Linked DNA regions of Saccharomyces cerevisiae S288C. The gene in region 1 interacts genetically with each later gene. Each region holds a gene or a part of one and is shown on either strand. Other genes may lie near its edges.

Region 1 (7,946 bases):
GATCTAACAATATCTTGTAAAAGCGTCTCCCCTCCCGTGGCCAACAGGCCATCTTGGCAGCCGATAATGTAGTCTTCATCTGGGATGAGCCCTGCCGATTGGGCGGGTCCATCTGGGATGTTCACGTTCAGGATATGGTATGTGAAAGTGGAAGCTATCAAAGGCGTCCATTGGACTTTGAACCCGAGTGCTTGGAACTGGTGCGCTTCCCCACTAGATGGCCTCCTCTCGTCATGGTTTAGAGAAACATCGTCCAAATCGTCGCTCTCCTTCGATATAATGCTGATATACTCGTCTCTGAACGTGCCTCCTTTAGCTGACCATATGTTGACCTTCAAAGTTCGGCCACAGTGTTCATTGAAGATGGATGTGATACGACGGTAATCTGGGTACGAAAATCCGTGTTGATTACTGACCACCGGCACCGGATCATCATTGAAACCTACTATATAGTCGAAAAAGGACTGCAGTTGGAACTGCATCTCGTCCACCCAAACAATGCGGAGACCGGAAAGCGTTTCATTGACGTTGGTGTGCTTAACACCTTCAGAAACCGCATCTACGGGTGATTCCAACTGAGCAGACAACAAATTTGGTGGTATAGACTGAAAGAAAGCGTCCAGATTGCTCGAGTCCTGCGAGAGTGCCAGGGTATCTTGCACGCTCTGCTCAAAAGTCCGTACGAGGTTTTTAGCTATTCTAAACATAGTTCTTCTTCCTATACCTTTTTACTTCCCTAGTTTCGCACGCTGTGTCGGTCGCAGTTACAGTAGTAGTCTCAGCACCCCTGTTCTTGGTCCTGATCCCGTTGCGACAAGCCCATTTCTTTTATGATAGCCAAAATGCAACTAAACCTCGTCGTCGTCGGCTTGCGTGTCCGCCGCGAAGACAGAAAAATAACGAAACGAACTTAATAGAAACGACCTAGATTTTATTTGGAAGCCAGCCCGATGCTATCTTCAAAATGGCTGTCACTGGGTGCAAAGGCGGTGGGAGAGCCCATTAAGTAATTTAATCGGGTTGTCTCACCAATGTTAGCCACAACGCAACGCTACGTCGCCACTCTGGCAGCCACCGCAACGAGCAGTAGCAACTACTTTCGGGTGGGCCCTTCAGGGGTAGTTGCCTGCGTCTTTGTTCGAAGAATCAAGTGACAAAAAACGCGGGGCATCCAGAAAGTCTTTTTGTGTGTGTCGTCGAAAGGGAAAGTGAGAGAGTGAGAGTGAATTAGTGTTTGTGTGTGTGGAAGACAGAGGAAGAAGATCGGGTCGTCGAATTCTATTATGCTTGCGATGCAGGGGGGGGAAACATGTATTCGGGATTATATAAAGTCGATTCTGTGTAAGTGTAAAATCTCATCTTGTCTCGTGTTCTTTTGTACGTCTCATACTTATAGGAAGTTTAAATAGAAACAGATATCAGTGTATCAAGGAAGAATTGTACAAGAATCGAATCATAGATACACAGTAATGTCATTTGAAAATTTACATAAAGTCAATGCTGAGGCATTGGAAGATGCAGTGGTTGAGATCTGCTCCTCATTGCAGGTTGATGCAGCAAAGTTGGACGAACTAACAGCGTACTTCATTGAATGTATGGAAAAGGGGTTGAATAACACCTCTGTAGGCGAAGAAAAGACGGTGGACAAGGGTCTACCCATGATCCCTACATATGTAACCAGTTTGCCCAATGGGACGGAACGTGGTGTTTTGCTGGCTGCAGATTTAGGTGGGACTCACTTCAGAGTGTGTTCTGTGACTTTGAATGGTGACGGAACCTTTGATATGCAGCAATTGAAGTCTAAGATTCCGGAAGAATATCTAAATGACAAGGATGTCACCAGCGAGGAGCTGTTTAGCTACCTGGGTCGCCGTACAAGGGCCTTCGTTAGGAAGCATCATCCTGAGTTGTTGAAGTCCACGGGGGAGAACATAAAACCTTTGAAAATGGGATTTACCTTCTCATATCCCGTTGACCAAACCTCTTTGAGTTCCGGTACTTTAATCAGATGGACCAAAAGCTTCAAGATTGAAGACACGGTCGGCAAGGATGTCGTGAGGTTATACCAGGAGCAATTAGACATTCAGGGGCTCTCTATGATTAATGTGGTAGCTTTGACCAACGACACGGTTGGCACTTTCCTATCCCACTGCTACACTTCAGGCTCTCGTCCATCGAGTGCTGGTGAGATTAGCGAGCCTGTCATTGGTTGTATCTTTGGTACTGGTACTAACGGTTGCTATATGGAGGATATTGAAAACATCAAGAAGCTACCAGATGAGCTCAGAACAAGACTGCTGCATGAAGGAAAAACCCAAATGTGCATCAACATCGAATGGGGTTCTTTCGACAATGAATTGAAACATTTGTCTGCTACAAAGTATGACATCGATATTGACCAAAAATTTTCTCCAAATCCAGGTTACCATCTATTTGAAAAAAGAATTTCCGGCATGTACTTGGGTGAGCTGTTAAGGAACATCCTGGTGGACTTGCATGCAAGGGGCTTAATCTTGGGACAGTATCGTAATTACGATCAATTACCTCACCGTTTAAAGACTCCTTTCCAATTGTGCAGTGAAGTTCTTTCCAGGATTGAAATCGATGATTCGACAAACTTGCGTGAAACTGAATTGTCGTTTTTGCAGAGTTTGAGGCTACCGACCACTTTTGAAGAACGTAAAGCAATTCAAAATCTGGTCCGTTCCATTACGAGAAGGTCTGCATATCTAGCAGCCGTTCCGATTGCCGCCATCCTAATCAAGACAAACGCTTTGAACAAAAGATATCACGGTGAGGTAGAAATTGGTTTTGACGGTTATGTCATCGAATACTATCCTGGATTCAGATCCATGCTGAGACATGCTTTGGCATTAAGTCCAATTGGCACTGAGGGTGAACGTAAGATACATTTGCGTCTAGCCAAAGATGGGTCCGGTGTTGGCGCAGCTTTGTGTGCTCTGGTGGCATAAAACATATCTGTTCTTAACAGCTTATTTTTAGTTTGTTTTCGTTTTCCTCTATATAAATATCTTATGTATCTGTTATATAAAAAATTATTTAGTACGAATTGAAATGAAATGTTATGTTATATTTTTAGAGAGAATCTGCTATTACTTTATACATGTTAACTATATACATAATAAAAAAAAAAAAAAAAATATTGTCTAAAATTAATCATTTATTTGTAAGTTTTGTTCAAACTGCCTGCTAATTTCACCTTGGTCATAGCTCTGACTCTTTTTCCCATTTTCATTACTGGGAAAGAAGTTTGGATAGCCCATATAAGAATAATTGTCTAAATCGTTCGGTCCCAATAGTTTCTCAATGTTGTATTTTTCAGTTTCGTCATCATTTTCATCAAAATTACTTTCCATAGCGTATTCAGCCCAATTTTCGCGCCTAATAAAATAGTTTTCCAATGGATTGAAATCATCTGCCATGTTCTTCTGAGCACCTTCTATGCTTCCAAGGGCAATTTCCAAATGGTTTGTTTCTTTATGTTGTAAAACTTCTCTCATAGATGCCAAAATTAAATTTGGGTCTCCACCAAGAGATAAATTAACCATACGGTAAAATTTCCCTATCAAACTCATGGGGATAAATCCGTCATTGGCTTTTTTGAATTTAGATCTTAAAAATTCATCTGTTTTCAAGTTCTCTTCACTAAAATAGAATTCAATTTGGTTTTTGATACTTTCGATAGATTTAAAAATAGGTTCCATTGAGTAATAATATGGTGTTTGCAATTGTTGTTGATAGTTGATGTTATTATAATACTGCTGTTGACGGAAGTATGACAGTTGTTTATAGCTATTTCTTGAATTGTTGTTCAACCAGTGGCTGGCATTGGGAATATATTCAGGTCTAGCCTGATAATTATTTGGGAAGGAGATGGCATTATTAGCCGCCTGACTGTGTCTACTATTGTTGTTGTATCTTGTTTTGCCATTCCTGTTTTGATAATTTCTTGATTGTCTACCGTTGGTTGAATTGTTGTTGTTTGTTATCCTCTTTATATTCCCATTGGCAGTTGCTCCTGAGCTTGAATGTATGTTTACTTTAGCGTTAGCATCTAAAGGTTTGGATTCAAGATTGGAAACGTTACTTATTTCCGATGTACTGTTGGTTTGACCGTTAAAGTCCTTTTTATTGATATCGTTATTATATTTGCCACGCTTTTTCATTTTTTTATTAGTCTTAGAATTTTTAGAGTTCTTTCCTGACTTTGAATTTGTGTCCTTGGAACCTGAGATTATAACAGACGGCGTAATTGGAGTCCATTTGGTATTGCTTGTTAATTTAATTGACCCCGAACCATTTTTACTTGGCTTTGCAGTCTTTGATATATCTCTTAGTTCCTCTACAGGAATTACTGTATTGCTATCTGGCGAAGATGATTTCCATGGCGATGTGGTTGGTATTGGTGCCAACTTTAAGGATGAAGTTTGTTTCTTCTTATCTTCAGCTGCTGAGGATGTATTTTTTGGATTATCATTGAGGTTTTGCGATGACATTTTTGAATTCACTTTATGATTGATTTTCTTTATCTTGGTTATATTTTTGGGCTCTCTCGTTTATTTAACGCCACCCTAAATTGTGTCTTAACAATACGCTTCCTCTCAGTATTTTTTTTTAAATAAAAAAATATGATAGAACTGCTGAACACTACTTTTTAAAACCTTTTAATAAATAGACAAGTGTCAACCAAGGATGTGCCAATTTTCCTTTGTGATTCAGCTGCGCTTGTATGTGCTTCCAGCTTTACTTTTACTAATTTTTTCATAAGCACAAAATAGTAAGATCTTTTTTCTCTTGGCGGTGAAAAATTTTGATTCGATGGATCAATAACATACTGCAAAAAACGGTTTGAGGACATATGAATACTGCATTTACTAGTAATTTGCCTAGTATATAGTTTGACTACACAGATTATAAGCTATTGTATGAGTAGCTCCACAAAGTGCAAGAAAGCATACGAAGCGGTAGTCAAAATGGTTACGCATAGATTCAACTCCAAAGCAGTCCGCAATTACCATCAACCACAAGGTTTAAACAGGAGTCTGGCAACCCGCAATGCAGCTAGAGTTAGGGGTATGGTCCCTTCAAGAAGAGGGGGCGTGGGACTGTATAAGAGTTCAAGTAGCAAGTTGATGAATAAACTAGGAAGACAAAAGACATGGATAAATGAGTTTGAACATTTTAATTCTCTGCACGAAATTGCATATACCCCTAACATTGCGTTAAGTAGTGAAATCCAAAAATATTTAAAGGCATTGGAAACAAACTATCGGTCCATCTATGAGAAAAGTTCAGAATTACTGGATAAGAAGCTGGAAGAAATTGACAAGAAATGGATAGAGAAAAACGGGTGTATACCTGATGCATCTAAAGACGATGTGGAGAAAAATCTAAGAAAGCAATATTTAGCAGATGTACAGGACGTAAAAAACGAACATATACCTGTGATGAATTGTGAACCTGGTGGGTCTCAGTTCAAGTATCTCTGTAAAACTATTGAGTTATTATCATCCAACAAGACAATTTGTTTTGCCATCGATGTAGAGGCATTTGAATTTGATACAGACATTGTTACAGAGATTGGCATCGCCATATATGATCCAAGAGAAAACATTTATTCCTTGATGCCGATTATAAGAAGTTATCATTTAATTGTTGCTGAAGCGTTACCGTTAAGAAACAAGAAATTCGTATGCGACTTTAAAGACTGCTTTTTACTTGGAGAAAGTCTTGTATTACCATTGGAACAATGTGTAGAGTTCATTCAGTCGTTGATTAATTTCTATATGAAATGTGAGACGGACCAAGATACAACCTGGGAAAGAGCGTTTGTGGGTCATGCTATAGCGGGGGATATTAAGTGGCTGAAGAAAATTGGGGTCCATGTACCTGAATTGGATAATGAACTTACCAAACCGGAGGACTCAACGGAGAGCAAAGGTGTTAGAAAACATGTTAAGATGCTTGACACAGAGAAAATTTATAGCATGTGTTATGGCAAGAAGGGTAGCAGTTTAGGTAAACTACTAAGGCTTTTTCACTTGCCACATGCCTTCTTACATAACGCAGGCAATGATGCATATTACACGTTGCTCCTGATGCTGAAGTTAGGAGATTATAACTTTAGAAAGCAAATTGGGGCAGATGATTTAGAAACAATGGGATATAGGATAAGAGAATGGTTTAAGCGTGAGGCGGACGAACCCAAAATTTTGCCAATGTCGTACGTGCTAAGTGTGATGAATGCCAATAATAGCAAACCGAAAGTTGATGATAAGGGAAGAAAGAAGCCGAGGGATCTTGTACCTCAGACGGAATTTAGCGGGTCTCATTGGTTTCAAAATGCACGCGCAGCCTTCAAAAGTACTCTTGTGTGAATCTAGCTAGAAGTTTTGTAGGTATATGTGATTTAAGATATAGATAATAAAAGATATATATATGTAAATATTATGAAGGGGATATTAGCGTAATTTAAACTATTGAAATACCGGCTTCAATATTTCAGCTAACTTGCCATTTTTCTTCAAAGTTTCCAAATCGCTGTTACCACCAATGTGCTTGCCATTGATGTATACGTTAGGTACAGTTTTTTGGCCCGAGATTTCTTCTAAAGCGTCTTGAATCTCTGAGCCATTGCTCATTTCATCTAATTCCAACACAAGGGCCTTGGATTTGGGAACGTTCAATTCTTGGAAGAGGGTAGACAAAGTAGCTTTACAGTAAGGGCAGTATGTCTTTGCTGCAACAAACACTTCCTTTTGGCCAATCAGATCCTTTACGTGAGCAACTGTTTCCTGGGATACCATTTTTGGAGTAGATAAAAATCTTTTAGCAATAATTCTTGTGGCAAACAACGTGATAATGATAATAACAATTAAATTCGAGTCGAAGGAAAAATTGGTCTCCATGAAACAATATATAACAGTAGTTGGAGTGTCCGTTAATCAAGAGGGCACCTTTTCTTGGCGTCCTGGGACTTTTTATATGAAAATTCATGAAGAAAGTGCGGCGGGCCCCTTTGCGAAGGGGGCCGAAATATCGGATCTTAGTAATAGTTCTGCTATTGGATGTGGTATTAGCATAAATCAAGAGGGAGGCGATGGTTCTATTAGGGTAAAAGAGAGCAGCTTGAGGAAGAAACAGGAAAGGATGAGTACAAAATATCCGACAACGATGAGTTGCCGAGAGGCATTTGATCAACTGACGAGTTGCTATTCGATTGGAGGGCAATTTAGAAGCTATTACAGATATGGAGATTTTACATCATGTGACAAGCAGGTGTCCAAATTCAAGTTTTGTATTATCCACGGCAATGACCCTGTGAAAGTGCAGGAATGGTATAAAGATCAGGTTTCCAACAATAAGGCATTGGAAAATACCAGTGGGGTTATATGGCAGGAGAGGGAGACCACTGCAAATAAGTGAGATTTTTAGCTTTTTTTTTTTAGCATGTGTACTATATAGTATATGGATTTCTTATTTACAAGCGCAATAAAAAGACGAACACTAATCCTTGTTGTTCCGCTTCACGTCCTTACTTGATTCTATTTCATTGTCTTGGTGAAGTTTCTGTGTTTCCTTCATCAATTCATACAGTTGAACTGTTTGCTCAGGGGATAGTTTCTCCAGGGTTTCCGAAGATAAAGTGGCATCTTTCCATTTACCGTTGGAAATCATGTGGAGATAATCTTGCCAGGAAGCTAAAAAGCCGACTATATGCAACGGGTTATCGATATCTTTGTGCAACTTGAACTCGTTTCGCACGTATTGGTCACCCATCTCCCTTTGGGGACCAGGTAGCAGCTTATGCTGCCTTAGTATCCTTCTGTAGAGAACCAAAGGTGGAAGTAAAAGCTGGCTGTTATGGGTTGCAAATCTAACCGAACGATATATGAGCTTGTTGTTCATGGTGAATGAAGACGGGA
Region 2 (7,854 bases), on another chromosome or scaffold:
AAGAAGACGTATCCTACACCTCTACTTCGACCATCACCACAACCATTACCATGACATTGTGATGAAATTCATGCGCTTGCTATACACACACACACACACACACACACACACACACACAATATCTATCTATATATATATGTATGTTCTTTATTGTTTGTCTTTACCTTTATATATAAACATATATAGCCATATAAGAATATAATATTACCACTCCACTGTATTTTGTATCCTGCCTATTTTTGCTAGATTACAGGACGCGCGAGCCTTTCAGGGGAGGGAACTGATGAATCGATCAACCAAAAGAAAGAGCCAAAGGATTGGACCAGAACTGTTACTGTTATAGCAGAAATATTAGTAGTACGTTAAAGCCAAGCGTCGAATTTCAGCATAATTAAGAGGAAATGTCTGAATATATGGATGACGTAGACCGCGAATTCATTAACTGTTTGTTCCCGAGCTACTTGCTGCAACAGCCTGTGGCTTATGATTTATGGATTTTATATTTGCAACATAGAAAACTCTTTCACAAACTGAAGAACACTAACTTAATCAACGCTGATGAAAATCCCACTGGCGTTGGAATGGGCAGGACAAAGTTAACTGCTTTAACAAGGAAAGAAATCTGGTCTAAATTGATGAATTTGGGTGTTCTAGGCACAATTTCGTTTGAAGCTGTCAACGACGATTACCTGATTCAAGTCTATAAATATTTCTATCCAGACGTTAATGATTTTACTTTGAGATTTGGTGTTAAAGATTCAAATAAAAATTCAGTGCGAGTTATGAAAGCTTCCTCAGACATGAGGAAAAATGCTCAGGAACTATTAGAACCCGTTTTATCCGAACGTGAAATGGCGCTTAACTCTAATACCAGCCTGGAAAATGACAGAAATGACGATGATGATGACGATGATGATGATGACGATGATGACGATGACGATGACGACGACGACGATGAATCCGATCTGGAAAGCTTAGAAGGGGAAGTGGATACTGACACGGACGATAACAACGAAGGAGATGGCTCTGACAATCACGAGGAAGGTGGAGAAGAAGGAAGTAGAGGAGCTGATGCTGATGTGTCCAGTGCACAGCAGCGTGCCGAAAGGGTTGCGGACCCATGGATATATCAAAGATCTAGATCAGCTATTAATATAGAAACAGAATCAAGGAATTTGTGGGATACATCTGACAAGAACAGTGGTCTACAATACTACCCCCCTGATCAGTCTCCAAGTTCTTCCTTTTCTTCTCCTAGAGTATCGTCTGGTAACGACAAAAATGACAATGAGGCAACAAATGTTTTGTCCAACAGTGGTAGCAAAAAGAAAAACTCAATGATCCCTGATATTTACAAAATACTTGGGTACTTTTTACCTTCTAGATGGCAAGCTCAACCAAATAACAGCTTGCAGCTATCTCAAGATGGTATTACTCATTTACAACCTAATCCTGATTATCACTCATACATGACTTATGAAAGATCAAGCGCTTCTTCTGCCTCTACCAGAAATAGACTGAGAACCTCTTTTGAGAACTCTGGGAAAGTGGACTTTGCAGTCACTTGGGCAAATAAGTCATTGCCAGACAATAAGTTAACTATATTCTATTACGAGATTAAAGTTCTCAGTGTAACGAGTACAGAGAGTGCTGAAAATAGTAACATTGTTATCGGATACAAGTTAGTAGAGAATGAATTAATGGAAGCGACTACAAAAAAGAGTGTTTCTCGTTCAAGCGTGGCCGGTTCTAGTAGTAGCTTAGGTGGTAGTAATAACATGAGTTCCAATAGAGTACCTTCTACTTCTTTCACTATGGAAGGTACTCAAAGGCGTGATTATATTTATGAAGGGGGCGTTTCAGCCATGTCTCTTAACGTGGATGGTTCCATAAATAAGTGTCAGAAATACGGATTTGATCTTAATGTATTTGGCTATTGCGGATTTGACGGTTTGATAACTAATTCTACAGAACAATCTAAGGAATATGCTAAGCCTTTTGGTAGGGATGACGTTATTGGTTGTGGCATAAATTTTATCGATGGCTCAATTTTTTTCACGAAGAATGGTATCCATTTAGGTAACGCATTCACCGACTTGAATGATCTAGAATTCGTCCCATATGTGGCCTTACGACCTGGGAATTCTATCAAAACAAATTTTGGGTTAAATGAGGATTTTGTATTTGACATTATTGGATATCAAGATAAATGGAAGAGTTTGGCGTATGAGCATATTTGTCGTGGACGCCAAATGGACGTTTCAATTGAAGAATTCGACTCTGATGAAAGTGAGGAAGATGAAACTGAAAATGGGCCTGAAGAAAATAAATCAACAAACGTTAATGAAGATTTGATGGATATTGATCAAGAGGATGGTGCCGCTGGTAATAAGGATACAAAGAAGCTTAACGATGAGAAGGACAACAATCTGAAGTTTCTTTTGGGAGAAGATAATAGGTTTATAGATGGAAAGCTAGTTAGACCAGACGTGAACAATATTAACAACTTAAGCGTGGATGACGGTTCATTGCCTAATACATTAAACGTGATGATAAATGATTATTTGATCCACGAAGGATTGGTGGATGTTGCAAAGGGGTTTTTGAAAGATTTGCAAAAAGATGCGGTTAATGTCAATGGGCAACATTCTGAAAGTAAAGATGTTATCAGGCACAATGAAAGACAGATCATGAAAGAAGAACGTATGGTAAAGATAAGGCAAGAATTAAGATACTTGATAAACAAAGGTCAAATTAGCAAATGCATCAATTATATCGATAACGAAATTCCAGATCTGTTAAAAAATAATCTAGAATTGGTATTTGAGTTAAAACTAGCGAATTATCTGGTGATGATTAAAAAGAGTTCATCCAAAGATGATGACGAAATTGAAAATTTAATTTTGAAGGGTCAAGAATTATCTAATGAATTTATCTACGATACTAAAATTCCACAATCTTTGAGGGATAGGTTTAGTGGACAATTGAGTAATGTCTCTGCATTGTTAGCATATTCCAATCCACTTGTGGAGGCACCAAAGGAGATATCAGGATATTTGAGTGACGAATACTTACAAGAGAGATTATTTCAAGTTAGTAACAACACAATACTAACATTTTTACATAAGGATAGCGAATGCGCATTAGAGAATGTAATATCAAACACTAGAGCTATGCTTTCTACATTACTTGAGTATAACGCGTTCGGTTCAACCAACTCTTCAGATCCAAGATATTACAAAGCTATTAACTTCGACGAAGATGTGTTGAATTTATGAGCATAAAACAAGCACCTTCAAACAACAAAGCCATGTGATATCAGTCATTATCTTCCCAAAAATCGCATATTAATATGTCTTAAACCGTTTATATAATGAAATTTACTTGACACCTTTCTTTTTAATATTCTCATCCAAAATACTTCTTAAGTATAGTATATAATTTCATCGATAATTCCTTTATAGGCCAACGAAGAGCCACTAGACGTAGACACCGAAAGAATTCGAAGCAAAAACAGTGGTCAAGCCAGCAAACAAGCTGCCAATTACACTTAAAATTGTGTAGAAGAAGAGTTTCTTAATGTATGAAGATTTAGAACCGACGGCGAACAGGGCAGATGATAATACAGCTAATGTAACGATTAAACCACAAATTGCAAATTTTGGTTGAGTGTCTAAGTGGATAAATGGCTGGAAGCTCTTTGAGGAATGGAACTCTTTCTTAAGTGATTACACAAATGCCGAGAAGGCGAATTGGCTATACTTGTTAGTAATTATGAATTAGAAAACAGGAAGGGAACTATTCATTGTCCTGTGTGTTGTTAAAAACATCAAAAGAATAGCATCAACCAGCGTTACAGGCAACGTACGTATAATTGTTCATAAGTCATTGTAAACCTTGAATATGCAGGGATATCTCTCACTGCTTATGTTTTGCCTATTTACAGTATACGTTTTATGTGTACTTGCATCCTTCTTCGAAAAGTATTTGCAATTTCAAATTTCGCGTCAAAGAAAAGAGAAGACCACCCAAAAGATATCATTTCAACATAGGTAGAAATAAGGCAGAAGATGATGGGACGAAACGGTATTCGGCTAGCACTGAAAAGATCTTTCAGCACTTATCAGCCACCGGTAGTAGAGATTACGAATATAACGAAGTTATGGCCCACTCTACGACCTGAAGTTAGGGATGAAATCAAGGAATACTTACGATGGAGGATGCAAGAAGATTGGAGACATATACCGCTGGAGGAGACCAAAGCAGCGTATTTCTTATCTTATGGACCCTGTGGTGGCAGATCCAAGGGCAACGAATGGAACGTAGGGTACACGGGAATGCGGATAGTGTTCAACCTTGTTTTATTTGGCGGTGCAGCGACTGCATTTTATAATTGGAAACAAGATAAAAAGCTAGAGGAACAATTAAGGGATCTTGTATAAATTGGAAGCAACAATAGTATATATATATATGCGCTTGCGCAGAGTACGTTCTATTCATTTTTTATCATTCATTATCTATCCCTGTAAATAAACTAATATAAAAATTCAAAAAAATAATGATTTCGCCCAGGATCGAACTGGGGACGTTCTGCGTGTTAAGCAGATGCCATAACCGACTAGACCACGAAACCACTTAATTGAAATATACAACCCCAAGATAAGATACTTGCTTCATAGTTTAGTTGTAAAATTGAAGTTCAGTACAACATGGCACTAGTATAAAAAAAAGTTTACCAGCCATTACTGCGCACTTACCTACATTAGTCACTCTTAGCGTATATTCTAAATACGCTTAGAGACGTCTCCTTACTATTTTTCATACGTATAACTCTCAAAGGACAGTATAGACATATCCCTGGGGGCTTTTAGAGTGCAGCCTCTGGAGGTCTACACACGTTAATAGTCTCAAAAAATACGCTAATATTTGTTAAATAAGCGAATAGGTCTTCATGTGCGCCTGAATCAGTAGCTGTCTACATGGTAAAGAGTAATTTGTTGACACGAAAATTGATAGTTGGTTAAAAAATATTGCAGATTCAATACTACATGAAAGACTTAATTACAAGATAGACTGATGGTGAAAAAAGAATGTACAGGTTTACCGGCAAACATTTTGAGAAATTAAAGCCCAAAAAATTTTGTGTACCTTATGATTTTCCTCCTCTGTCTAATCCAGTTCCGTATCTGGGTACTGCTGCTTCTTTGTTAAAATCGCAGCATGCTTCCCATTGTTGGGAATTGACTTTGAGCAATATTTAGTTAGTAACTACCATATAGGTGACTGTCGTGTGCCAGCTATAACAGAAATAATCCTTTCACCATGATCATTGTAAACGATCAAAGAAAACTCTGAAGGGACTATAATGCAGTCTTCATGCAGACACTTGAAATATACGACATTAGTAGCTCCCAAGGTAGTAGGCACATCCTGCGTAAATTCTCCACAACCATGTTGTATATATAGCAGCCATAGTATGACCGAGCACATGGGACGTACGAATAAAAGATTTTCTCAGATCCCTGAACTTGAGCGTCAACCATGAATTTCTCTACTTTTTTTTCGAGCAGTAATTACCATTTTAGGTTTGATTACAATCACAGCTTCAGCAGAATTTGATTTCGACGTAGGCTATGAAGAGTTTGTCCGTATCAACCCTGATAAGACCTTCTTAGAAAGTGAGATTGGCCTTTACGTTGGTTGGACCGAGGGTAGTCAACGGCAGATAACAACGATACCACATAATTCCACGTTGGCGGCATCACTACAAGAGTAGAATGGTTGTGGTGGTAATGGCACAGAAACCTCCATCGCTACGTCCACACTTACGATGAGTGGTATACCTATCGCTACGATAATGAAGCACAGAAAAAGTGTACTTATCATATTACCGCAACTATGTACGTGAGGTGTAAATTATGGCTCTCATAGGACATAAGTAGGACAGAAATTGAAATTTTTGTGTTGGCAGAGCGAAAGAAACTTGAATTCGTTTATGAGGAATAAATTCTCAGCTCCATCCATGGTTCCAGTTGACGCTATGATACGCAAATTCCTTTGTGATACAGGTATCATTTCTGCAATTCCTCGTAGATTGTTGATCATACCATAAGATTGATGCTGGGGAAAGTGGAGAAGCTAACTTAACGATTGAGGCCTTGGCAAACCCTGTTAAACCAGTACTATCGGCCTTAACATGCGACTTAGAGAGAGAGAGAGAGAGAGATGTTTGCGTTTGCGTCATGATAGAGATGCTACATCCACATAGTTGTTGTAGACATGTTTAAAGGTACAATTCTGCAACAACGCCTTGAAATTTTCCAAAACTAACCAAGCACATTGGAGTTACGCTTATATAGTAAGCCACTTCACTTGCGTTGCTGTAAAGGTTGATAACTACAGGTAGGAATTAATGAATGTTAAATAAAAAAGGGAAATACCATCATCTCGACAAGAAAGGCAAAATAACTTTTCAATCTCACCAAGACGCGCGAACGAAACTCGTGCGTCTATATTAGTATCTTGACGGCGCTTTTACATCATTAAAGGTGTAATAAAACTGAAGTCATGCGATGGCACTGAAATAATCAAAGTAACTATTTGTGATGGCATGCACTGTGATATGATCTCAAGGAAAAAAATGCAATGTCGGGCGCCAATACTTATGATCATGCTTAGTCTCGACATTGACCTTGCTTGCTACAGTAATCTGGTGTCCGAGTAGTGACATCTAGGTACCGGTGAGAACTATATCTTCATTACTACACTTGTCGCCCCTGAATATTATCGCTACACACGCGAAAGAGCTCTTGTTAAAGTTACTCTCGCATCATTGCGGTACATGTTTTGCATATTCATCTGAAGTAGGAAAGGGTATAAGCAGTATATGATGTACCATCTGCATAAGCGGTGTTTAATGCGTACCTATCGTTTAAGAACAAAAGGAACACACCCACACCCGCTCCAATACCATATTGAGAGAATAATGAGGTAACATATGCTTCTATTTGGTTCGATAAGACGGCTACTAGTCCAAAAAAAGTCAAACAACAATTTCAACAGCTACATTCTGAAGATAGAACGCATTTTTGCCTGAATATTGCAACTCAATAGACATTCTAAAGTGCTACGAGAAAAAAGCTTGTAATGGACCATGGCAATGTGCGCCATATATATATGCGGCTCCCTTATGAGTAGAAGAAAATATATGACTGGTGGTACAAAGTGGCATGGTGGTATATAGATGTAGGAACACCATTTGAGTTTGCCATAATGATTAAATTTCCCTTTTTATAAAGAATTAGCCGCCCATAACACGAAAAATATCACAGTTGACGAAAGAAGACACGTCGCCTAAACGCGTAATGAATCGCAATATACGAAAAGCTAAACGGGTTTTTCAGAATCCTCTTACCCAGCCTTGGATAATAGTTTTGGCCGAAAAAAAAAAAAAGAAAGAAAAAAATTGAAATTTCGCGATCCGAACAAACAATGAACAGAAAAACAGAATATATATAACGCTGCCAAGCCTATTTCTTGTTGCCGATTAATTGTTGACATCCTCTTAATTACCAAAAGAGCCTAAGAAAACAAACACACTAACCACACAGTATCTTTCGCCCGAATGTCTGAATTGAAAACAGGTCATGCAGGCCATAACCCTTGGGCTTCAGTTGCCAATTCCGGTCCGATCTCTATTTTATCCTACTGTGGTTCCTCTATTTTAATGACGGTGACTAACAAGTTCGTCGTCAATTTGAAGGATTTCAACATGAACTTTGTCATGCTTTTCGTGCAATCTTTGGTTTGTACTATAACCTTGATTATCCTACGTATACTGGGCTATGCGAAGTT
Region 3 (8,711 bases), on another chromosome or scaffold:
GAAGCCAATGTGTACACTGGAGTTGAATTAAAAGATCGTAACGACAGGACAGTTTTGAAATTTTATTTAGACACAGAAGAGGGAAGATATATATGGCTAGACGGATTGAAATTGATATCTCCATTCCAGCATGAAGATATATCAGAAGACACGAAAGAACAAATAGACACTTTATTTGATTTGAGGAAAAATGTTCAGATGATAAATTTGAACGTTCGTCAGGACATCATAGTGCCTCCACCTGAACCAAGCGACGAGGACGAAGATGAAGAATTTTATAACTTGGAAACGTTAAAGAAAGTAACCCAAAATTTTTATTTTGATTAAGATACAAATTTGTCGTCAGACGATTTTTTTTTATTTATAACTTTTTTTTACTAGAATGGAATGTAATTTTGTAATTCTTTCCCGCAAGTAGCTTGAGTCTCCATTCAGTTCGTTTGTACTTGAAAAATCCTTTTAATATAGCATATAGCTTGCAGTTTATTAATACTCACTTCTACAGATTCAACAAAAAAAAAGGAATTTTTGACTAATCCCCTGTTTATTAGATGAATTAATGATATTTAAATACAAAGTATTAATAATATAATGACAGTGATAAGTATGTTGATATTTTATGATAATGACGATGAAAATTATTACCTACGGCTTTTGAAGCCCTTCTTCTTATTTGAATTTGTACTCTTCTGCTTTTTAAAAGTTCTTTCTTGATCTGCAATACGGTCGGTTTTGGTTTTTCTATAAGAACGTGCACCATTGCCATCTGCCTTAGCTTCTTCACGCTTTCTCTTTTTGCTGTTAGTGACTTTCTTGTTCCTTGATAAAGCACCTAATACTTTGGAATTTTTCTTATCTGATTCGCTTTGGAACCATGTCCTTCTTGGTCTTGCCTGGATTTCCTTTTTATGCTTCAACATATTTTCACCCTTTCTTAATTGCATTTCAGCCCTTAATATTTCCTTCTCCTCCTTTTCTTCCACCAGAATATCTTCAATCGTATCGTTCATGGATTCAACAAGTTTGTTTGTTTCTTCGATTTGAACCCAGTCTACGTTTCTACCAAGTGCTTTACCTTGAGTTAGGGACTTATTTTCTTCTACACTCTTTATAGCAGCACGTACAATACTTCTATCTTGAGATGATTCACCGACGAAGGTGACGGAACGACCTTCCCTACCAGCTCTGGCGGTACGACCAACTCTATGCAGGTAGATCTCATAACTCTTGGGCATATCGTAGTTGATAACAACCTCAATCTTGGGGATATCAAGACCTCTGGAGGCCAAATCCGTACAGATAAGTACAGGAACTTCCAAATTTTTGAATTTATTAACGGAATCTAAACGCTGTTCTTGGGTTAAAGAACCGTGTAATTCACCCACACTCATACCTAAAAGACCCATGATAATCCTTAACCTATGAGCAGTTTCTTTTCTAGCCACAAAAACGACAATCCTCTTTTGACCCGTTGGATCCAATTTCCTAATCAAATTAAATAACAAGGCAGGCTTCAAATGGTCTCTTTTACGAATACGAACGAATTCTTGTGTCAACTTAGTAGCAGCTTTCTTTGGAGGATCAATCATAATCCTTACTGGTTTTTTTAGAGAAAGACTAACTAAACTTTTAATTTTGGAGTTCATTGTAGCAGAAAACAATAGGTTCTGTCTATTGCTTGGTAATAGGCCCATAATTTCGTTCAGTTCATCTTGAAAACCTTCTTCTAACATTCTATCGGCTTCATCCATAACCAGAATCTCTACTGAGTCCACATTAAAACTTGCTGAGTTCCTGATATGATCAATGAATCTACCTGGGGTAGCAATGACGATGTCCGGACGAGATTTCAACATTTGTTCTTGTTGTCTCAAGTTCAAACCACCAACGGCCAGACCAAAGGTTATACCGGAGACGAAACGTGCAATTTGTTTACCAACGTCAGCGACTTGGATAGCTAACTCACGAGTGGGCAATAGAACAATAACTCTGGTGGAAGCGATTTTGGCTGGTTTATACAACAAACGCTCGATTATGGGAATCATAAACGCAGCAGTCTTACCGGAACCAGTCACAGCACCGGCAATGATGTCTTTACCCAATAAGGCAATGGGGATTGTGGCGCTTTGAATAGGGGAAGGCTTGACGTAACCCAAACTTGCAAGGCCCTTAAGAACCGGACGAGATAAAGACAAACTGTTGAAATTTTCGTACATTTGCTTTTTAGCTTCATCTCCCTCAGTTTCAGGCGCATAGAAATCGGCTTTTGCCTCTTCAGAATCGTCTTCTTCATCTATTTCGTCATCTTTGCCGCCTTTTTCTAACGTCATCTCTTCTTGTTCCTCCTCTTCCTCCTCTTCCTCTTCCTTTTCCTCCTCTTCTTCTTCTTCTTCTGACTGATTTTCGTCTCCATTGTTCATGGGAGCTCCCATACCGAACCCGTCCATTGCTAATTCCTCATCGTCGCTATCGTTTTCTTTTTCTACTTTTTCTTTCTCGGTTTCTTCTTCTTGTTTACTATCAATATGGGCCATTTTCACCAGCCCACCTTTTCTTCTAATAATCTTATCCAAGTCAACGTCCTTCTTCACAAAAGCTTCGGCATCGTCCTTATTGGACTCGCCCTCTGCTAGAAAGTTCCAGCCTTGGAAGTTCGAAGTGGTATCATCGGCGTCCAAATCAAACTTAAACCCCGCGTCCAAGTCCTCATGAACATCCTCATCGAGGTTATCCCCCTCACTAACCTTTTTCTTGTTATTCTTACCCTTCCGCTTCTTCGTAGTCTTCTTAGCCTCGACTTTTTCGTCATCAGAAGAATCTAGAATTGGAACATCGTCTTCACTGTCACTGATTGTAGGGACAAAGTCCAAATTAGAGTATTTTTTAGTTCCTACCACCATAGTATATATATAAGACGCTGTTGTAGGCACACAGCTCCAATTCGAAACCCAAGTTACCAACGTAAATACTCATACTATCTAAGCATATTCTAACTTACAATTTTCAACCTCATCTCATCGCATTTTTTGAAAATTTTTTTTCAAATCATTACCCGGATAATGTTATAACCCTACCTATCTCCTTCAAAAAAAGATAAAATGACGATATATAGCGGCGAATCAGAATCTAGTAACCACCTAACTACTTGTCTCTAGTACAACTAAACAAAATTTTAGTGTACACAATCAGATAACTACACAATCAATTATACCCAATGACTGAAACTGACAAGAAACAAGAACAAGAAAACCACGCGGAGTGCGAGGACAAACCTAAGCCATGTTGCGTTTGTAAGCCAGAAAAGGAGGAGCGGGATACATGCATCTTATTCAATGGACAAGACTCTGAAAAATGCAAGGAATTCATTGAAAAGTACAAAGAGTGCATGAAGGGTTATGGCTTCGAAGTTCCAAGTGCAAATTAGTCTTACTGACAGTCTGCCGACAACCATTTCTTGTATATATAAGAATAGGTATTCACAAACTATAGTATATACTACCTGTAAATATGTGCGATGCACAATTAACATTACCTCATCACTACTACACCACTTCTACTGCTAGCACTGTCCTCTTGTGCTTGGCCCCTTAAGAGTGTTCTAAGACCACGTGACCAGAAAAGGACGTATCACGTGACACAAACCTAATAACTTTTTTAGGAAACCCTAAGTCAGGGCACGCTTGCTTTGTTTCTTTTTTTTCTGGAAAGAACGGAAAAAAAAAAAAGTCTGGGATTAGTTAGTGTATATTAAGTGAAAAAGTATAGAAATAGGTGTCGAGAAGAAGTGCTCGTTGAACCATACTGCTCACAATACTCTTTCATTGAACTCTTTATTACGTTGTCGTCAAGTACAACTCCTTCCTTTATCGCCTGCCTAGCCTATAGTCTGCTCTCTTCGTGTCATTCCTTATAGCATAATCAATCGCACTTCCCCTTTCATTGTGCGTTTATCCAAGCTTTTTATTTGCCTACATTCGTGTTCGTAAGCTTTAACAACAATAAGTAGCAAAACAGTATGGGTTTCATATCGTCAATACTGTGCTGCTCTTCCGAGACGACACAATCCAATTCCAATTCTGCTTATCGCCAACAACAGAGCAGTTCTCTCAATAAAAACAGAAGCGTTAAACATTCCAACACGAAAAGCCGAACCCGTGGCGTACATCAGACAAACTCTCCTCCTTCTAAGACAAATTCAGCCGCTACTTTCAGTTCCACTGAACGATCCACCGGTAAATCTGGGATAAGCACGAACGATAATGAAAAAAAGAAGCCATCGTCGCCGACTGCAGCCGTCACCGCCACTACTACTAATAATATGACAAAAGTAGAGAAGCGAATTAGTAAAGATGATCTTTACGAGGAAAAATACGAGGTTGACGAAGATGAAGAGATCGACGATGAAGATAACCGTCGCAGTCGTGGCATTGTACAGGAAAAAGGAGATGCTGTGAAAGATACTTCCAGGCAGAAAAAACAACAGCAGCAACAACAACAACAGTCACAACCACAACCACAACCCCAGTCACAGTCACAGTCACAGTCGCAGTCGCAGTCGCAGCAGCGAGGGCCTACTGTACAAGTATCGTCTGACCATCTTATCCAAGATATGAATTTGAGTAGGGTAAGTAGCAGCTCTCAAGCCAGTGAAACTTCCAACGATGCCGACGACGAAGACGATGAAGATGAAGAATATATTGATCTAACGCTTTTGCAGCAGGGCCAGTATCATGCACCAGGTTACAACACTCTGCTCCCCCCACAAGATGAAAGTACAAAGGGCAAGAAATGCCTAATACTGGACCTGGATGAAACCTTGGTACACTCTTCTTTCAAATACTTACGATCTGCGGATTTTGTTTTGTCTGTGGAAATAGATGACCAAGTACACAATGTCTATGTCATTAAAAGACCTGGTGTGGAAGAATTTTTGGAAAGAGTCGGAAAATTATTCGAGGTTGTAGTCTTCACGGCTAGTGTCTCTCGATACGGTGATCCTTTGCTTGATATATTAGACACAGATAAAGTCATTCATCACAGATTATTCAGAGAGGCTTGCTATAACTATGAAGGAAACTATATAAAAAACTTATCCCAGATTGGAAGGCCGTTATCAGATATCATCATTCTCGATAACTCTCCGGCATCTTATATTTTTCATCCCCAACATGCAATACCGATTTCGTCCTGGTTCTCAGATACTCATGATAACGAATTATTAGATATTATTCCTCTTTTAGAAGACCTTTCTGTGAAAACCTCACTGGATGTGGGCAAAATTTTGGATGTAACAATATAATGAGCACTTTCGCCCGAATTTCTTGTGGCCCCCGCTACCAAAGAATGAAGATGAAGAAGATGAAGAAAAGAACCAGAGAACAAAAAGTTTTTTCTTTTTTTTTCTTTTTTTTTTTGGCTCAACACACTGTACCCATGCTGTCCCTTGACATTTTTTTTTTCAACTTCTTCTACCATTACGACACAATGTATTCATATATAAATTCATAATCTAATAAAATGGTAATTTTAATTTAACGGGACTGGCGTGAACATTTATCAAATACATGTGAATTAAAAATTAAAAAAATGCAAATATTGTACATATGTGTATATACAGACAACATAAAACAGAATAACTACTTTTCTTGAGTATCACGTTTGTCATCTTCCTTTCTTCTTTTCCTATCTCTTCCTGAATCTTCATATTTGTGCACGGTACCAACGATTTGTTTCTTCCTTTCGGAAATGTATGGCATATCCTTTCTAGTACGCCTTTCATTAGCTTCTCTTCTCTTAATAGAACTCAACTCAATGTTCTTAATTTCCTGAGCCTTTTTGATGACTTGTGGCACGTGTCTATGTCTACTGATTCTTTTGATCTCCGGCATATGTCTAAATCTTTCTTTTAATTTTTCGTCATATTCTAATTTATTCTTTTCACGAGTAGTTTTGACATTAGACCTCTCCCAAGCTTTACTTCTCCATAGCCTAACATTCCCATCATCAGATCCACTGATAATATATTTAGAATCCATGGAATATTTAACCTGGAAAACATGCTGCATTCTCTTCGTATGATAAATTTCTCTCGAATGTCCGTGATTCGTCTTATATATTCTGATACTCTTATCGTACGAACCAGTAACAATCTCATCCCCCGTAGGAGAAAAGTCAACATCCATTACTGCGCTGACGTGATCTTTGAATACATTCAATGAACGTGATAAATTCCTCATATCATAATAGTAGGCGTTATGATCTTCATTGGCAGTTACAAAGTTGAAGGCCTCCATTGGATTCCAGCAAATAGCATTCGTCCTCATTGTTTGAACAATCTTTTGTGTGGGGGAGTTGGTTCTCAAGTCGTAAAGAACAATAGAATTATCACTACCAGTACTGGCCAAGATATCTGTTTCATTTTGATTGAATTTTAAACTAGTAATGTTGTCTGCTCCCCATGATAGATCGGAAACTGGCTTCAATCTGTTAACGTCCCAAAGATGGATCTTGGCCCCACCTGTGGCAAACGTGGAGTTTTCTCTGTGCGAATCGATACCTTGAAATGCAGATTCACCGTCAAAAGTACGAATCAAACCTTCCTCGTTAGTAACGGAGTCGTTATCACTGGAGTTTTTATTGGAGTAATCATCAACATTTATTGACCATAGCTTGACAGTTTTGTCATCACTGCAAGATAACATAAAATTTTGGCTCTTCAAATCTGGCTTCTTGTCATGAAAACGAGGCTGTGTCACACAAAGACCAGTAACGAGTCCATAATGCGCCTTAAAGGAAACAAATTCTTCTCTAGTAGACATGTTCCAGTATTTAATCACACCATCTGCAGAACCAGTAGCCAATTTATTCAGACTACCATAATTTTTGGCAATAGCATAAACACCATCTCTATGACCGTATCCTAACTGACCCACAAAGGGTTTAGCAAACATTCTTTCCAATTTGGTGGCATTCAAAGCTTTAGTATATTCACGTGCCCTTTCAAAAGGATGCAATTCAGGGTTCAAATTCCTGGGCATTTGAGATTCCTGCGTACTTTTAACAGGGACATAGTCATCAGCACTTCTTTTAATGGTCTTAATCTTCATTTTAACGCCTTATCTTCGCGAGTCAAACTACGTTAATGAAATGCGGTTGCTTTATACAACTGTAATGTAATTCAAACTCATCGATTTTTTTTCAATATCAAATTTTTCAAAAAAATGTATCGTTATGCACGGTGATGTCCCAACTCCCGACAATTTGTGACACAATACTTCAAAAAAAAAGAACAATTAAAAACTAAAAATTTACTAGCCCTCTATCTATGTATTCCCAAGTATAATTTATATTAACCTATATATCATGCTTCCTCTTCAAGCCTTCTCAGCAACCATTTCCAGCTCCGTTTCCACCTCTGTGTCCGAACAATCACTTTCAAAGGCGCTGGATGGCTTCTTGGAGTAATAGTTGTTCAAATTCTGTAAAATTGGTTTACCAATTCTCTCTATGACATCATGTGCCCATAGGACATCAATATGGGCATACTCATCAATGTACCAGATCTTGTAGTTGACATTCGACTCCACATTGACGAAATGATTGATTAGTCTTTCTCCGTCCACCAATCTATCTTGCTTTGGAACAAACAAGTAGATATTTGGGGCCTTTGATGCGTCTGAAAACCACTTAACATTGTCGGGGAACATCTTATGGGAACCAAATTTAAAACTTACCTTGTTGGGGTCGGGTGACAGCCACCATTGCATCAACTTCACTGAAACATGGACTGGCGAAAACAGGAAATGGCGATCTCTTAATGCGGTATCCCAAAGGGTATCGTTCCAATCAAACAGGTAATTGAAGATGGTGTAACAAACAAAGGAGAACAAGCTCTCACCAACGCACAAGTTTCTTACAATCATCATTATCTCAAAAAAGCTCGTTTCACCAAAGAACCAGGGATTTTCGATTTCCTTTGTCATAAGCTTAACAAACAATTTCTCGTTAAGTAAGGGACCAGGATACACTGCGGGGGCCAAGGCAATATAGTTTGCGATCTTAGAAGTGAAAAAAGATTCTTTAGATCCCGAACCGGGAGGGAAAAACTTATCTTCGTTGACCAAGCCCATAAACCCCTGTGTAGTGCCCTGAGAATGCGAGATCAAAGTAAGCTTTTCAAACTGCGTCTTAGCTAACACGGTATCAATCAAAAGGGTCAGATCGTACTTAACCATCTCGCGAAGGTCCCAGTCCCACCTGGAAGCTAGTGTCGGTACTTTCGCTTCGTTCCATTCCGGCCTAAACCCGCATCTGTTATTCCCTAACCATATGTCGTAACCGGATTGATACAGAAAATATGCCAGAGATTTTCTACCATTGGATGCGAACGAACCACTGCTTTGCAAAAGGCCATGTAGCATCAAAATGGGTGGCCTCTTCTTCTTGTCAGAATCTGTCGTTCTATATTTTGGTATCAAGTGCCACAAATCTATAACAAACCCATCTTCGGTCTCCAATCTAAATTCCTCTATTTGAATATTGTACTGGTTAAAATAATAATTAAGATCCGCAACTAATGTCAAGTCTTCCGATAAGATTAGATTCTGTAATGGATTGTCGCACTGTACAGGAATTTTTTCAAAAACCGGTTCATGATTGGCAATTTCATTGCTACTATTATTGAACTTTCCTTGCGTTACGCCTTCGGTAAC

The links. A genetic interaction does not mean that the proteins touch.
Region 2: mutations in EMI1 (region 1) and MTC3 together harm fitness more than expected from each alone (negative genetic interaction), as found in Saccharomyces cerevisiae (2 studies listed by BioGRID).
Region 3: mutations in EMI1 (region 1) and PSR1 together harm fitness more than expected from each alone (negative genetic interaction), as found in Saccharomyces cerevisiae (2 studies listed by BioGRID).

What each region holds. Positions count from the first base shown.
Region 1 is NC_001136.10:1,470,000-1,477,945, reverse strand, and holds EMI1 (Emi1p), read left to right. Parts: upstream 1-6,882; coding exon 6,883-7,446; downstream 7,447-7,946. Other genes in the region: GRH1 (Grh1p), read right to left, coding at 1-707; EMI2 (putative glucokinase), read left to right, coding at 1,470-2,972; SLF1 (Slf1p), read right to left, coding at 3,174-4,517; YDR514C (uncharacterized protein), read left to right, coding at 4,947-6,398; dithiol glutaredoxin GRX2, read right to left, coding at 6,498-6,929; SDH7 (Sdh7p), read right to left, coding at 7,528-7,929. UniProt on the Saccharomyces cerevisiae protein: Involved in sporulation. Required for the full activation of the early meiotic inducer IME1.
Region 2 is NC_001139.9:69,270-77,123, forward strand, and holds MTC3 (Mtc3p), read left to right. Parts: upstream 1-4,070; coding exon 4,071-4,442; downstream 4,443-7,854. Other genes in the region: SHE10 (She10p), read left to right, coding at 1-62; glucose-induced degradation complex subunit VID30, read left to right, coding at 402-3,278; OST5 (dolichyl-diphosphooligosaccharide--protein glycotransferase subunit), read right to left, coding at 3,480-3,719, 3,869-3,889; VRG4 (GDP-mannose transporter), read left to right, coding at 7,625-7,854. UniProt on the Saccharomyces cerevisiae protein: May be involved in telomere capping.
Region 3 is NC_001144.5:125,918-134,628, reverse strand, and holds PSR1 (phosphatase), read left to right. Parts: upstream 1-4,015; coding exon 4,016-5,299; downstream 5,300-8,711. Other genes in the region: LMO1 (Lmo1p), read left to right, coding at 1-327; DRS1 (putative ATP-dependent RNA helicase), read right to left, coding at 642-2,900; copper metallochaperone COX17, read left to right, coding at 3,215-3,424; rRNA-processing protein SOF1, read right to left, coding at 5,637-7,106; YEH1 (sterol esterase), read right to left, coding at 7,374-8,711. UniProt on the Saccharomyces cerevisiae protein: Has phosphatase activity in vitro. Involved in the response to sodium and lithium ion stress (but not to potassium or sorbitol stress) by inducing transcription of the sodium pump ENA1/PMR2.